Linked DNA regions of Cricetulus griseus. The protein of the gene in region 2 interacts with the protein of the main gene of each other region in a pairwise test. Links are inferred from orthologs where the notes say so. Each region holds a gene or a part of one and is shown on either strand. Other genes may lie near its edges.

Region 1 (3,932 bases), on a different chromosome or scaffold from region 2:
CCTTCTCACTCTCTACTGCTCTCTGACCCTGAAAGTAATGAGTGTAACTCCATATGTCTCGGGAGTTGACTCTGCCATGTGTCCCATCCAGGTTCTCCCCCACCCCCACCCAGGATTAAGTGGTATAGCACTCAGTGTCTTCTAGGGAAGGAGGGACTGGGGGCTGATGCTTAGAAAACTTTGTCCACATTCCCTTTATACAATCAAGTCACCTTTTGAGGATGATGGCCTGGTCTTCTAAGGAAAGCTGATGAATACAGAGGAAACAGTATGAGGGGCAATTAAGGAGGTCATATATGAGTGTCAGGATTTGCCATAGAGTTTGGGGACCAGAGAGTGGCCTCCAGCCATTGACTGGACTACAGGGCTGGCACAAACACCTCCTAGAGGCTGAAGAGACTTCTTAGTGAGTAAGAACACTGACCACTCTTCCAGAGGACCAGCACCCACATTAAGCAGCTCCCAATTGCCTGTAACTCCAGCTCCAGGGGATATGATGCCCTGGATCTTCTAGCATCCAGGGACACCTGCATACATATAGCAAGCATGCACAGATACACACACAGAGAGACACACACACACACAGACACACGCACGCACGCACGCACGCACGCGCGCACACACACACACCAAATAAATCTTTTTTTTAAAAAAAAAAAAAAGACTTCCTGGTAGGCTGTTGACTGTGGGAGCTGGACCAGAGGCCCCACATTTTAATGAGGCAGAGATGGCCTGGAAGAAAGACACTGGGATGATCATCTCCCGAGTCCTTGGGGTGTTAAGGCTTTGACCCAGAAGCCCCATGCTAAATGAGTGGCTGAGCCCCTGTATGACCTCAGCCCTACAATTCCTTCTATGAAGGTCATTTACTATCATCAAACTTTCGGTTCCAGACTTATCATAGTGCCTGCTAAGTGTTCTGACTCATCTGGAATAATAGAATTGACCAGAGCTCTCCGAGAGTCTGATAAGACAGGCGACAGGTACCTTGGTCCTGGGGATCTGAAGTAGCCTCAGGTCACTTATGCTGCCAGCACAGCTGTGGCTGAGATGAGCTCCAGTTAGGGTGATAGCTTAAGGAGGAAGGTCTTCTGTCCCCAGAGTAATGTCTTCCTCCTTTATCCCAGACACCATGGAGACGGTGCTGATCCTCTGCAGCCTGCTGGCCCCTGCAGTCCTGGCTAGTGGTAAGAATCCTTTAGAGCCTGGCTGTGCCAAGCTGGCAGCCATAGCCCTTTCTGTTGAAGGTTCTGGCTGTTTTGAATGTTAGGGTCGAGAGGCAGCTTCACATCCGGTCAGGGACCTCACCATTAGTCAGCAGAGAAAAACAGATCCCAATTGAGGTGTTCCTAACTGCTCCCTGCATGGGTCCAGCTGGCCTTCTGTTAACCTCTCTAGGTACCTTGAGCTCCGGTGGACCTGCAGCCTAGACTAATTAACCCACCTTGACCATATATGCAAGTCATGAGTACCCCTTGCTCTCAGTTTCCCCATTTGTCACGAGTTGATAGACAGACCTGGCCTTTTAGAATAAATGTAGGGCATGCTGTGACCTCAGGAACCCACTGAGGCTGAGTCACATATACCATAGACCCTGGGTGTGGACCCTAAGCCCAGGAAACCCAACTTCCACAATCCCCCCGTATCTTCCCATGATCCTGCTTCACAGGGGTCCTTTAGTGGGGACAGGTTGCTGTGGGGCAGGTAAGATGTCACAGGAAACACCGCTGCCTTCCTCTTGACCATGTCTGTCTGCTTCCCCAGCAGCTGAGAAGGAGAAAGAAAAGGATCCGTTCTATTATGGTGAGTGAGCTCAGCAGCCCCCGGGGTGTGGCCCCATCCGAGAGGGACAAGCTTGTCCTCCTGGCCCTGCCCCTCTTTCACCTCACATCCCTGGTTCCTTTGCAGACTACCAGACCCTGAGGATTGGGGGATTGGTGTTCGCTGTGGTCCTCTTCTCTGTTGGGATACTACTCATCCTAAGTAAGTGTGTCCCCTTTTTCTCTGTGGCTGCTAGACAGATGGGGGTAGTGTACAAGCTTAGCCATGGTCTGCCTCTCCATGGTATCTCCAGGACCAATACAGGGCGGGGCATGTAGTAAGTGCTCAGTAAAACAAGGAAGGTGAGCAGGATGTTCTCTGCATCCCTAGGGCAGGAGCTCGGCCATCCCAGGAGTCAGATGTCATTTTCCTAGTGTTCCTAGGAAAGTGTCCCTATGCATTTCCCACCCTGATTATTTTTGCTCACCGTATGAAAGGGCAAAGTCCATCATAGTGGACAGGCATGGTGGAGCAGCTTGGTCCAAGGTAGTAGACATCTGTGGCTTGTTCTCATTAAGGTTGACCAGGAAGCAGAAAGTTCAGGGTATAACCAGAAGCAGCTATCACCTCTAACACCTGACCGCAGCAACCCACTTTGGTAGCTAGGCTACTCCTCCCACAAACAGCACCCCCACCGAGGATCAGGTATTTAGACACAACTTCCTGTGGGGTGCATCTGCCATTTAAACCATAGCACCTGGCCTCCCTTGACTCCTGCCCCCTACCCAGGGTTACTTCCTGTAGTAGTGCAGGCATCCACTGTGTGTCTGGTGGTGCCTTTGGTCTGTATAGATTCACAGTAGATTATGGCCCAGCTGGGAGCCTGACCTTGACTGGTTTCTTTGCATTTCAGGTCGCAGGTGCAAGTGCAGTTTCAATCAGAAGCCCAGGTGAGGTTGCCAAGGCTGTGGCCAACAGGGGCAACCGCAGAGGGGACAGGGAGAGGGTGTAATGTGAACCCGGTGGGCTGTCTCAGAGAGAGAATGTGGGAGGCCGAGGTATGAATCTGGGGATTTCCAAGTGACTTTGGAACAAAGGAGAGGTCACACATGGAGAGTGGGCCTCAGGTGTAAATCGGGGAAGGAATACTGAGTAAGAATGTGCTAGCATCGACCCCAGATGCTGTCCAGGAGGCCTGTACAAGACTGATCCAGACCCCAGAACATAGATGTCAATAAGGAGGCCTCTGCACTCCAGGGAGCCTCTGGTAGTGGATTAGTATTTTTCCCTGGTGCAAGAAGGGACTTTGAGAGCCCATCCCATATGAAGGGTTACACTCTGGCCCTGGACACATGGGGAAGGGCCCAGGATCAGCATAGGAAGACTTGGTGGACTTTGCTGAGCTCCCGTTGAGGGCCCTACCCTGCCTGGGGAGTAGTGGGTGGATGGGGTTGGGGGGATGGGCTGGGGGTGGGGGAGAAAGTTTGGGGGTGAGGGGAGGGAGAGGGAGAAGGGACTTGAAATAAGCTTGTTCCCTAACTAGAACTAATAAAATAAAATAAAATTTAAAAAAAAAAAAAAAAAAGAATGTGCTAGAACCTTGTCCGGAGGCCTTTGAGACAGCTAGGCTTGCTAAGAGGGAAGCCAAGGACTTCACGGCTGCTCTGAGGTGCAGGGCCTATACACTGTCTCTGCTTTTCATCTCTCTCTGAGGCTCTGTGCACTGCATAGACACCTGATCTTCCTTCTATGTCACACAAAGTTACACCCCTTCATTAAAACAGCCATGGTGGCCATAGACCTCAGAGCCTGTGGCAGGCACAAATCCCACCGGGGGCAGACATTGCAGGGCATTCCTGAGTTCTCTTTGCCTCTGTCCCTGTCAGTCTTGACTTCTCCTTTCACCTAGTGTTTGAATCCTTAAAGGGGCTCTGAGGGGAGGGGTTCTAGAAGCCCTACTTCAGGGAAGAGAATGAAGAGAATGGGGAGATGCTATGGTTTACCCTGGACACGGATGACAGTGTGTCTCCTCTTGTCTTAGGGCTCCAGGAGATGAAGAGGCCCAGGTGGAGAACCTCATCACTACAAACGGTAACTGCCATGAAGAGTGCTAGGAGAGGGGCTTCCCAGGGTTTGGGGAAGGAGTGAACTGGGTGCCATGAGCTGCTTTG
Region 2 (3,027 bases):
TTAATTTTGCTTTCTTAAAGCATGTGCTGAGCTGGTGGAGGGAGCAGTTTGGCAATTAAAAAGGCCCAGCAGCTTGGGCAGCGGCATGGGGAAGCCAGGTGAGGGTGGGGTGTCCCTCTGTCCCAGCCAAGGGGTAGCAAAGCCCGCGCTAACTTCATAAAATACAAAATAAGGGAGAGGTGATGGAAGGGAGATTTGTAAAATACATTATCTTAGGGGATTGGTAATAATAAAAAATAAGGTTCATTATTTACAAACAATTTCTGTTCTTGATCTCTGTACAGTAGGAGGTGGGGGTGTGTGATTGTGTGTGCATATGTTCGTGTGTGTGTGTGTGTGTGTGTGTGTGTGTGTGTGTTCAGAATCTTTCTTAACTCTGCATGTTGGGTAGTCTCTACCATATTAGAAGTGACTAAAGGTGGACACTCATCTGCTATCCCAGTACCAAAATACAAACAGTGCTTAGTCAATGCATCGTAACCACTGCCACCCTCACCAGGAACAGTGGTCGTGTTGGTCACTACGGAAAAGGAAACAGGAGTGGCCCAGTGAGTGGTTTATTGGAGAGGACGGATGATTGTGGGAAGAAGTGGGAACAGAGTGGTTGGCCCAGGGGAGCAGTCCAAATGCCTGGGGACATAGAGGGACTCCAGTCACAACAGGGACCGGGATGGCTGGGGAGAAGAAAGACCCTTTCTCCTGGGGCAGAAGGCTCCAGGACAGGGGTAGGAGCTGGATCTGGGTCGGTGAGCAAGAGAATGCCTCTTCTGGGTGCCAGGGTGTCCGTCCTGTGTCCTGGGTCTCGGAGAGGCCTAGGAGAGTTTGATGGTGGTATTGGGGCCCAGATCCCTGGGGAGAGAAGACGATCCAGGGATGAATCTGCTTTGAGATGCCCCTCACTTAGCTGTCAGTTGGGTCTAGACCAGGGATCCCCGCTCCCTGAGAGGATGCTCATCCCCAAGGAAAATGCTCCTCCCCTGGGAGCCTGCCCCTCCCCCTGGGAGCTTGCCCCTCTACTCACCTGTCATGGAACCACTCCTTGGGGTGGGAGAAGTTGGGGCTGGTGCCATTGTCGTTAGCATCTTCTGGCCAGGTCTCACTCAAGTACTTGGTGGTCTCATGGGTGCTGTCCATATAGTCATGTCGGAGGTGGTCCTGGGGCCTTGGCTCTACTGGCCCCCCGGGTTTGAGCTCCCAGCCTTCTGGGGGCTCCACAGGCAGTAGGGCGCCTCGGCCATCTTCCCACAAACCCGTCCCATCATCATAGAACAGTAGGCTTCGGGAGGGCACTAGGGGAAAAGAACAAGGTGAGCAATAGGTGCTCCCTGTGCTCAAATAGCCCTATTCATGTGCTAGACATGAAGGGCATAGGATCTGAAATCTTACAGGCCTGACTCTTAATCCCAACCCTAAGGATCCCTGGCTGTGTGATCTCAGGTTAGTTACACACTCGGCTCTGATTTTGCCGAGCATCAGTTTGTCGATCTGTAAAATGGGAATAGTGGAACCAACCTTGGGGAGATTCAAGGATTCAATGAGTATTACAGTGTAAGGGATTAAAACTGTGCTCAGTCAAGTCAAGAGCTCACAAAAACGCAGCACTTCTGGGACAAGAATGCTGGTTTGCTTACTGAAAACTGGAATTCCTCCCCACCCCGCCCCCATGGTACTAAGGATCAAGCCCAGACCTTCAGGCTTGCTACGCCAATACTCTACCACCAGGATTTTGAGCCAGCTTGTCCATCCTCCCATCCTCCAGCCTCTCTTTTTCTCAAGTTCATATTGAGACAGGGTTTCACTGAGTTGCTAGGCTGGTCTTTAATTCATTTTGTAGATGTTTTGTTTTGTTTTGTTTTGTTTTTTTCAAGACAGGGTTTCTCTGTGTAGCTTTGGAGCCTATCCTGGCACTCTCTCTGGAGACCAGGCTGGCCTCGAACTCACAGAGATTCGCCTGCCTCTGCCTCTGCCTCTGCCTCCGGAGTGCTGGGATTAAAGGCGTGCACCACCAATGCCCCGCTTGACTGGTTAACCTTTAAACTTGAACTCTCTTCCCTGCTTTGACTGAGAAACTGGGATCACAGGCCTAGACCTTCAGGACCTACTGAGAGCCGGCTCTAATCCTACCATGACATTTATTTCCTGAGATACTAAAGGGAAATCTTTCTTTTCACTTCTAGGCGAGTTCACCCTTCAGAGAAGGGGAGGAAAATGGACATTTGTTGGACACCTGTACCAGACATTATACAAAAATTCTCAGCTTACAGCAACTTGAATCTCACATGAAGCCTTGGAAATAAAGTGTTTTGAGCCCTGCTTCCCAGAGCTCATCATCAGGGGTCCCTACAAGTTGGCTTCCTGACTCCAGAGTCTGCTGGCTACCTCCCAGCTTCCCCTGCAGGGTCTAATCTATGGAAAAGGCGGCCCCTGGCATTGTGTGAAGCTGCAGTCCGGAAACCAGCCTGCTCAACAAGCCACCTCCTTCCTCAGACATGCCCTCTACCCTGCCCTGTGCCCTGCTTTCCCCTCAGTGGGTTATGTCCATCAGCGCGACCCCCACCCGCCCCCTGTGTGGTCAGTCCTCTCCTCAGGCCTCTCAGAGCCTAGGTACTCCTCCCACCCCACCCCATCACAGCCCTCCTGGAGTGGCTTCCAATCCCTCTTCCTCTTAGTCCTCCTTCCAGCTCCCTTCCTCCCTTCCAGGCCCTCAGTGTCTTGCTTATCCTCCCTGCAGTACCCCTCCTCCTAACACACTCCTCCCTGCTCTCCCCTCTCTCTGACCTCTTCTGTTTCCTCTTTCTCTTCTGCCACGTCTGATACATGCTTCTGGTGTGTGAAGCAGGGCCTGCAAGTTCCTCCATGGGCCCACCTGAAGCGGCCTCTGCCTCTGAAAGCCGTGCTGTTCTTTGCTGTCCCCTGTACTGACTTTCCCTTGCTGTTCCTGCCCTGTCTTTCCTCTCATGTCAGGAGCTAGTCCCGAAGGCAGGGCTTATGCTCACCTACTGTGAGCACCAGAACCACTGTGCATAA
Region 3 (4,169 bases), on a different chromosome or scaffold from region 2:
GGCTCCATCCTGCTGTGGTCCTGTAGCAAACCTATGCCACCTGCAGCCTCTTTGGCAGGCATCTGACATATGTTTCTCTCATTTTAGGGATTCAGCTGGTAGGGAGAAAGGGTTCAATTACAGGACAAATGACCTCTATTTTAGACTCAGCCACCTAGCCCCTACCCAGACCCATGCAATTCAATTATACAGAAGCTCCTCTACGAACACTGGGACCCTGTATCTGTATTGGACAGCTCCTGGGTCCTGACTAAGGAGGGTGTGTCCTTCCCCCGAAGCCCTCCAGACTGTTTTTTTTTTTTGCAAACTTAGAAGAAACTGTGCCAGCTGCCCCATCTGTTACCATCAGCCCCCAGCCAGTGTTTGCATGCACCTCCTCACCCCACTGAGCTCACCTGAGTAGGACCTTCCCTGGCAGGGTCCAGAGGAGAAGGAAGAGCGTTGCAGGAACAAGAGTTGTCATTCTGCAGGGACCTTGTAGTCCTTTCTCTGCCTGGCTGTCAAGGTGAGAGTAGATATCCCTGTGGGAAAGGCAACAGCACAGAGCCCTTCTCCAGCTTGGGCTGGAATAAGGAGCCTGTGTGTCTGGGCTAGGAGTTAAGCTCTCTTTCCTCTCCTGCCTCTTTTCTGCCCTGTCCTTAGCAGTTAGGGTGTAGAACTACTCCCCTGGAACTGAACCTGACACAAATAACCACCCAGCTCCAGCTGGACTTGTCTTGGATTGAGGAGGGCCCTCAGCCTGCCGGTCAGGGAGCCAGAAAAGATTCTCTTTGGGTAGCAATTCACTCTGCAAACCCTGGAGAGTCTTGGAGGGGAGGGAGGAAGGAGACGGGCAGAAAGACGTTTCCCTCCCTCCCACATCCCCCTAGATGCACCCTCCGAAAGCAGCAATTTAAAGGCACAGTCGCCAGCAGCTGGAGTGGGGTTCCCAGCTTGTCTGAGTTCTGGGGAGGAGCTTGGACTGCTGAGCTGCTGCTTGGGGAGAGCCTGAGGTGTTAGGTCCAGCCTCCAACTCTCCAGGAGGGATGCTTACAAGTAGACAGCCTTGTTACCCCTGTGCCCAACAGCTTTCTTTTCATCCTGGAGCCAAGATGGGGTACTAAAGTAAAGTCCTAATGTTTTTTCTAAGGGAAAAAGGCCCCAGAGGGTCATGGCGGAGCCCCAGGGTATCCTAAAAATGACAGTTTCAGGTCAAATGGAGGTGTAGAGGAGGCTGGCTGCAGGGGCTGCCTTTCTGTACCATCTGGATGGAGGCATGGAAGATGGCGGCCCACAGTCTGCCCCTCTCTTTACCTGCCCAATTCTACCATTCTCCTATCCCCCTTTAACCTTGTAGTTAATTCATTCTCTCCCTTGGTTTCCCTCCCTCAGGCAATCTTTGTGGAGTCTGTCACCTGTTGTAGCTCTCAAAATCCTTCCTCCTCAGTATCCATTCCCAGGCCTGCTTGTGGGAAGGGACGACTGTCCTGGGTGGAGGTAAGGGCCAAGCATGGCCAGGACATTGGCTTTGTAAGCTTTAGAGGAATCACAGGTGGGAAGTGAGGTGGGGAGGACAGTGCTTGAAGGCACACAACCCTGGGTGGAGGAAGAGAGACAGAGTGTGACTTTGCTTTCTGCACATTTGCCCGCGCCATCTAGATGCTTAAGGAGCTCTGTTTTCTCCTGTCTGCCTGTTTGTCCAATTTTCCCCATGTATCATCTAAGGAAGCACAGGGACTTCCCCTAGTGCCTCTCCCTCCCTGCTTTGCTCTCTTCTCTTCCTCTCCCCAAACTTTTCCATCATCCACTGTTTTTTCCATCTCAGTTTTCCTCTGTTCCTTCTCTAGATCTCACCTCCTAAGTTTGTGTCCCCCTTTCTTTCCCCTCTCTTTCATTGTTTTCATTCTCTAGCTCCCTTGTATCTTCAGTCTCTCACACTTTCCTCCTTAATATAGCAGTGAAAAACCAAAGACGTTCTTTTCTTTGGTGGAAACTCTCCTACCTGCTTTGCAGAGGTTAAGTATGTGCCGGGCAGGGCTGGGGGGATCAGTGCCACTTTGTACTGATCAATTTGTCACCTGGCTGGCTGTAGTATCTTATCCAGCCTCTCCAGAAAGATATTTGAGAAGATTGAATGCTTTTGCCCGGGGGTGGGGGAGTCCTATTGCCTATATAGAAGGATTAATAACAAGTCACTCATGTGTAGAAGTGGTGCAGCATCTCCCTTTTTTGCTGTGTTATTATTAATGAAGAGGATTTTTTGAAATTACAGATGAAAGCCAAAGAAGAGAATTTTCAGGAATAAAGGCTGAAATATTGATGAGTAAGATGAGCTTTTGGAATTGGGACTGAGAATGCTATATGCTTCAATGCTTATATGGTGGGTAAACGCAAAATACTAACTACCCTAGTAGCATCTTTAGCCACCCTTTCACCTGCTCACCCTTCCCCCTTGTTTCCCTTAAGCATCACATAACCCACTTTCAGGCAGGAGCAGAACCTGGAACCTTTCAAGGCAGAGAAGCAGGCTGGGAAGTTGAGAAAAGTGTTGCACTCATCTCCTTTGTGTAATTTCCCCAGCCTCTGACAACCCTGATCCTGTCCCTTCCCTTGCCCTAACAGTACCCCCACTTCTCTCAGGTAGCAAGACAAGACCCTTAAAATTATCTGGCCATATTTTTATTTCCCTGATTTCTCTAACACTGTCTGTTCTGTCTTCCCAGTCTTGGGCTATTTTCACATGTTGCCTACGAAGTATTCTTCCCTAATCTTACCCATCTGGACTCAGAGTTCTTGTTGCTTTGACAAGCAAGACATATGGAAACACTATCACTGCCCTTAGGTTTGAGTTAGGAGATCCTTTGTGTATTCTCAGGTCCCTCCCCTTCCATCTCCTCAGCATACCACACTCTGGTTTCTGTGCCTCTCCCCCACTCTGTCAAGAGCTCCCTGAGAGCAGAGATACATTATCTGCCAAATCCACAGCACAGGATAGGCAATTAGGGAACACTTTTTAAAAGATGCACCCTTGGCACCAAGATCCTCAAGTTTACCACCTATGAGTCACTCTCTGTCAAGTCAGAATGATAAGTTTGACATACAGAGAAAGGACCAGCATGAGGCAGTGGTAATAAGGAGAAATGAGGAAGTCGTTTTTATTCACTTGCCCCTTGGGCCCGTGGCCTCACATTCAGTCATCTGGAATTCTTGGCTAATGGAAGGCATAGTCCCCTGGGGACTGGTCCATTGTTGCAGGTCTCACCTCCTCTGTGCCCCATGGGATCCCTGAGAGCTGAAAGCATGGCAGGGTCAGCTTCCTGGGAGGACAGATTCTTTCTCATGAGAGGCTGCAGCAATGAGCAAATGTCTGGCTGGTCTGATGAAGAGGTACAGCCTTCCTAGGGTGCCCAGGGGCAGACTCTGAATAGAGAAGGAAACAAAAAAGCTAAGGAAGCTGCTGCTTGATATTGGCAGCAATCAGCTGAGATGCTAATTTCAAAATCTGCTGTACTAAAAAGGAAGCCATTTCTCTGAAATGACAGTGGTGGAAGAATCCAAAATTGTGTCCATCCTTGACCTATAACTGCTTTTCCTTCTCACTACCACACTCTGATGCACAAGAATCTCCATGTTATGAAAAGGACTGTATCTTTTCCACCTTGGCAATTGGATGCTACATTGGCATGACAGCTGGCTTCCATACATTGCTGAAGTGGTGTAGAAGTTACAATAAACACCGTTTTCATATTTTTGTGTTGATAAAAGTTACTTCTATAAGTGTAGTTTTGTAAGTACTATCAGTGTAGTTTTGTAAGTGCTAAAAGTGCATTAAACATATTTTCACAAATGTTTAATTCAACAAATAGAAGCTATCAATTTCAGTCTAGTATAGTGAAAATTGCATCTGCACCCTGCTGACAAGCAGACTTCCAGAAACTTCCATGTGTGTAGCATTTCATTATTAGAATGGGTATTGTTTATAAATTCTGTGACTTCTGGGCTACATTTGAAGAGGCAAAATTGGAAAAAGATTTCGCTTAACTTCCTGGATCTATTCCAGTAACTGTGGATGCTGTGGTCCTGATGTTGCCCATTTCACTTATTAAAGTAGAGTAGACTGAGACACACCTCAAAAAGTAGGCTGTATTCACAATCAGAGAAAACTCTCAGGCTTAAGGAAATTTCGAAAA
Region 4 (4,047 bases), on a different chromosome or scaffold from region 2:
ATACAGAACAGCCAATAATGAGAGACTGGAACATACAGGGAGGGTGGAATAGTATAAAAATTCTAGGCTTGAGTCAAGACATCTGCCATTACTGAGTCCTCTCCCACCTTACAAAACCTCTGCACGTGATGCAGAATGGGGGCATTGACATAGAATGTCTTAAACGCTATGGCTACAGTAATTCAAGAATCCAATCTTTCTCACCTCGGTTTACACGAACATGCGGCAGAACAGAAAAGAACCTTTCATTCGGTTGACCAGACCCCTCCAATCGCCAGACAATGTCTTAAAAAGCTAACGCACTTCCGACTCACTCAACCCTCTGGTTAACCCTAGACAAGACGCGTACTGTAGAGTGGTCAAAGAAGTGATGGGGGGGGGGACCTCACTGAGTCCCCAAGGCACCATCCCCGCAAGGGCCAGCCTACCGCGGGCTGCTCACCTCTACCCAGCGAATGAATGAGTAGCACCGGAGACAACGAGGTTCCCTCAGCGTGGGCTGCCACCCGAGGCCCCCTGGCCTACGCCCCACGCGTGTGGACTCCCTCCCAGGGCCTCCCGAGCCAAGCCGCAGGGCCGCGGGCCCCGCCCCCTCACGCAGGCCCGAAGGAGCGCGCCCCGCACGAGACTGGGAGGCTGAGGGCCCGGGGCGTCCCGCGCAGATGCCGGTCCAAAGAAGAGGACCCGCCCGCCCGGCCCCAGCAGCACTCCCGACTTACCGCGGTGCGTCTGGGGTGAGGGCCCAGGTCCGTCTGCCACCCGCCGCTCACAGAGCAGCGCGCGGCCACCAGGAAACCGTCGCCGCCGCCGAGGCCGCCGCCGCCACCGACCGCCGCTTCGGGCGCAGCGCGCAGAGGCCCGACTGCGTCACACGCCGTCCGCCGTCAGAGGCCAGCCCCGGGCGTTCCGCCCTCGCCAGCCGGGCATTGGCAGGCCGTTCCGCCACTCGAGGCCTACCGTGTTACTCATTGGGCGACGAGCCTTTTGAAACCGAACGTGAAGGCGGTCTCTGAGAAGGAGTAGAGGGGAAGAGGAGGGGCGTGAGGAATTGGGTGGGGAGAAAAAAAAAAAAAAAGAGGGATGGTGGGGAGGGACCTGGAGTCCCACCCCTTTTGCCGCGACGGTTGGCTGATAGAGACTCGCGACGTCACACACGGCCCCTCGAAGAGGGCTGGGGAGTGGCTAGAATAGTGAGCACCAAAAAGCGGTGACGTTGTGCCGAGACCCCGCCCCTTTCCTTGGAGCGCGGAGACTCGGGCTACGGAAGCTCCGGCCAATCAGAGGGAAGGCCCAAGGATGACATGGTAACTGTTCTACCCTTCTTTAGTTCAAGTCTGCGGGTAATGATGGGCAGGCTCTCAGGCCACCCAGCTGGCACTTTCGGAGCTTGAAAACCCTTTTGGGATACCTATCAATCCATGTGGCTTATCAGCAGCCCTTCAGAGACCCTCAGTCCCCACTGTTGTTCTTGCCGGTCCAAGCAAGTCTTCTCACATCCTTTCCTCTGAATCTCTAAGGTAGATCTGAGCAATGGTCTATTATAAGGCTTGATCCCAATGAGGGTTCTGCTTCAGCTGCAGCTTCAGAACCTGTGCTGTTCTGGATGGATTGGGTGCAAATGTACTGCCTTCTCCAGGACGCATTTGCTAACCTCAACAAGTTGGGGTGATGCCTGGGCGGTCCTCTTATCAGGACTTGTTACTTTGTATCTTATTTTTCTATTCTTAGACTCCTCCCTCCCCTGGTGTTGGTCAAAGTTGCGTTTTCATCCTTTTGGTGTCTGTTTCCTCCTGGGATCTAGCTAAGAGCAGAGGAGTGGGCATGTTCTAGAAATCAGACCTGTCTCGTTATTGAGGTCTCACAGAGGAGCAGGACTGTGCTCAGAAAACAAGCGTGCATACTACCTTTCCACCACCACCAGGGACAGCAGTAGACAACTGAAACGATATTTGCTAAGAATTTTAAATGAATCCCTCAGTGTTTTTGGAAGTAAAGGGAATTAGAAACATCTTAAAGATGAAGTGGTTTTGGGGTGGGTAGGGGCTGTAGCTCAGTTGATAGAGTGCTTGCCTGCCATGTGCAAAGCCCTGTATTCAATTCCCAGCACCACATAAACTGGATTTAGTGGTGCACACCTATAATCCCAGCATTTCAGAGGTGGAGGTAGGAGGATCAAATGGCGGCAAGATCGCTCAGGTAAACACACTTCTTGCCAAGCCTGGTGACCATAGTTCCCATCCTTGGGCCTTACATAGTGAAAGGAAAGAATCAACTCCGAAAATTGTCTTCTGACATCCATACATAGCACAAACACACACACACATATATGCACTCATACAAAATAAACAAATGCAATACAGTTTTTTAAATGAAGTAGTGTGAAGATGAAATAAGATAGTAAGTGGAAGAAGTGTGATACATTGTATGTGTTCAGTATATACTTGGAAGAAAAGTTAATGTATAGATTGCCTGACAGGAAGCTAGTTTGAGCATCCATCTGCAGCCACCTTCCCTGATCTAATCCCCTCTGTCCAAATAGCCCTGCTTTTCTACCAACGGTCCTTGCCTTTGCTCTGAATCAGAATGTCATTAGCAGGTAGGGTGTAATGCCAGCCTGGTATAAATGAAACTGTCTCAAGAACAAAACAGGTGACAACAATCATTAGGGTTCTTTCTATTTATGGGTTTTTTGGTTTGGTTTGGTTTGGTTTTATTTTTTATTTTTTGAAAAAGGGTTTCTCCGTGTAACCCTGTCTGTCCTAGAACTCACTCTGTAGAGTGATCAGGCTGGCTTCAACTCAGAGATCCACCCTCCTCTGCCTCCAGAGTGCTGGGATTAAAGCCACAAGCCACCAGTGCCCAGCTGCTGCTGCTGCTGCTGCTGCTGCTGCTTTCTTCTTCTTCCTTCTTCCTCCTCTTCTTCCTTCTTCTGTCTTCATTCTTTATTCTTCCTCATCCTCTACCTTCTTCCTTCCTCCTCCTCCTCTTCTGATGTTCATTACAGTAGCTTTCTCAACACCATCCCAAACCTCTGATTTTTTGGTGCTTCAGTCTGCAAATATAACTACATTTTAAGCCTGCCTATGAACATTTAGTGTCCATAAAGCCTGGCACACATTGAATATGCTTTACATTTACATATTTAATGCATAGATGAGTGAATTATTGTTTTACCTGGGAAATGATAGAATTGAAGACTTCAGAATCAGAGAACCCCAAGTTTAGATCTAGACCTAACTATAGTCATATGGAAATAATTCCCACTGCCTCTGAACTTCAGTTTTCATGTCTGTAAATTAAGGATAATTTTGCTTGACTTACAAAACTATTGGGAAAATTAAATGAGAGGAATATGACATTTGCTATAGTACCTGGTAAACAGTATATCCTCAATAAATGGTAGATATATTTTTATTCCTTAAAAATGGGGCTTCCCACTGGGCGGCAGCGGTGGTGGTGGTGGTGGTTGGTGGTGGTGGTGGTGGTGGTGGTGGTGGTGGTGGTGCACACCTTTAATCCCAGGATTAGTCAGAGGCAGGCAGATCTGTGTGAGTTCGAGTCCAGCCTGGTCTACTAAGGGAGTTCCAGAACAGCCTCCAAAGCTACTGAGAAACCCTGTCTTGGAAAACAAAACAAAACAACAACAACAACAATGGGACTTCCCATTTTAAGTAGTTTTTAAAGCATAAATTCTGACAGAGAAAGAGGCTCAGAAATGTTTCTTAAGTGAATCAGCATATGAGTATATTCACTTGAAAGTGCTAGTAGGTTTTCAGAAACTGGACTCCTTAAATGGTATGTACTTGTAGGAAGAGTGGGGAGGATACATTGAAAGAGAAATGCTTCTGTGAAGAATTTCTGGGGACCACGGTGACTTTCCTTATTAAGTATTATTCTGGTGAGCATATAAGCCGTAGTTTATAATCCCCTTGAGCCCTGATTAGGAAGAACAACTTTGTTTGGAGGCAGCCCCCTCCCTAGTCTAATTATCATAACAACCCCTTGGAGTTACTATCATCTTCCTTCATCCACTCTAAAAGCAAGAAA

Evidence for each region.
Region 1: the proteins of Creb3l1 (region 2) and Fxyd6 interact in binary tests that used the Homo sapiens proteins (3 or more experiments, as listed by UniProt). The two-hybrid records come from large-scale screens. The link is inferred for Cricetulus griseus from reciprocal best matches to the Homo sapiens genes CREB3L1 and FXYD6.
Region 3: the proteins of Creb3l1 (region 2) and Plp1 interact in binary tests that used the Homo sapiens proteins (3 or more experiments, as listed by UniProt). The two-hybrid records come from large-scale screens. The link is inferred for Cricetulus griseus from reciprocal best matches to the Homo sapiens genes CREB3L1 and PLP1.
Region 4: the proteins of Creb3l1 (region 2) and Pgap2 interact in binary tests that used the Homo sapiens proteins (3 or more experiments, as listed by UniProt). The two-hybrid records come from large-scale screens. The link is inferred for Cricetulus griseus from reciprocal best matches to the Homo sapiens genes CREB3L1 and PGAP2.

The regions. Positions count from the first base shown.
Region 1 is NC_048597.1:157,101,709-157,105,640, forward strand, and holds the start of Fxyd6 (FXYD domain-containing ion transport regulator 6), read left to right. Parts: upstream 1-1,132; coding exon 1,133-1,187; intron 1,188-1,764; coding exon 1,765-1,803; intron 1,804-1,908; coding exon 1,909-1,983; intron 1,984-2,674; coding exon 2,675-2,711; intron 2,712-3,802; coding exon 3,803-3,852; intron 3,853-3,932. UniProt on the Homo sapiens protein: Associates with and regulates the activity of the sodium/potassium-transporting ATPase (NKA) which catalyzes the hydrolysis of ATP coupled with the exchange of Na(+) and K(+) ions across the plasma membrane.
Region 2 is NC_048599.1:84,760,036-84,763,062, reverse strand, and holds the end of Creb3l1 (cyclic AMP-responsive element-binding protein 3-like protein 1), read right to left. Parts: intron 1,290-3,027; coding exon 1,022-1,289; intron 850-1,021; coding exon of another isoform or gene 813-849; coding exon 521-812; 3' UTR 501-520; downstream 1-500.
Region 3 is NC_048604.1:43,613,161-43,617,329, reverse strand, and holds the start of Plp1 (myelin proteolipid protein), read left to right. Parts: upstream 1-1,369; 5' UTR 1,370-1,476; intron 1,477-2,251; 5' UTR 2,252-2,359; intron 2,360-4,169. Other genes in the region: glycine receptor subunit alpha-4, read right to left, coding at 396-463.
Region 4 is NC_048596.1:97,173,914-97,177,960, reverse strand, and holds the start of Pgap2 (post-GPI attachment to proteins factor 2), read left to right. Parts: upstream 1-1,247; 5' UTR 1,248-1,304; intron 1,305-4,047.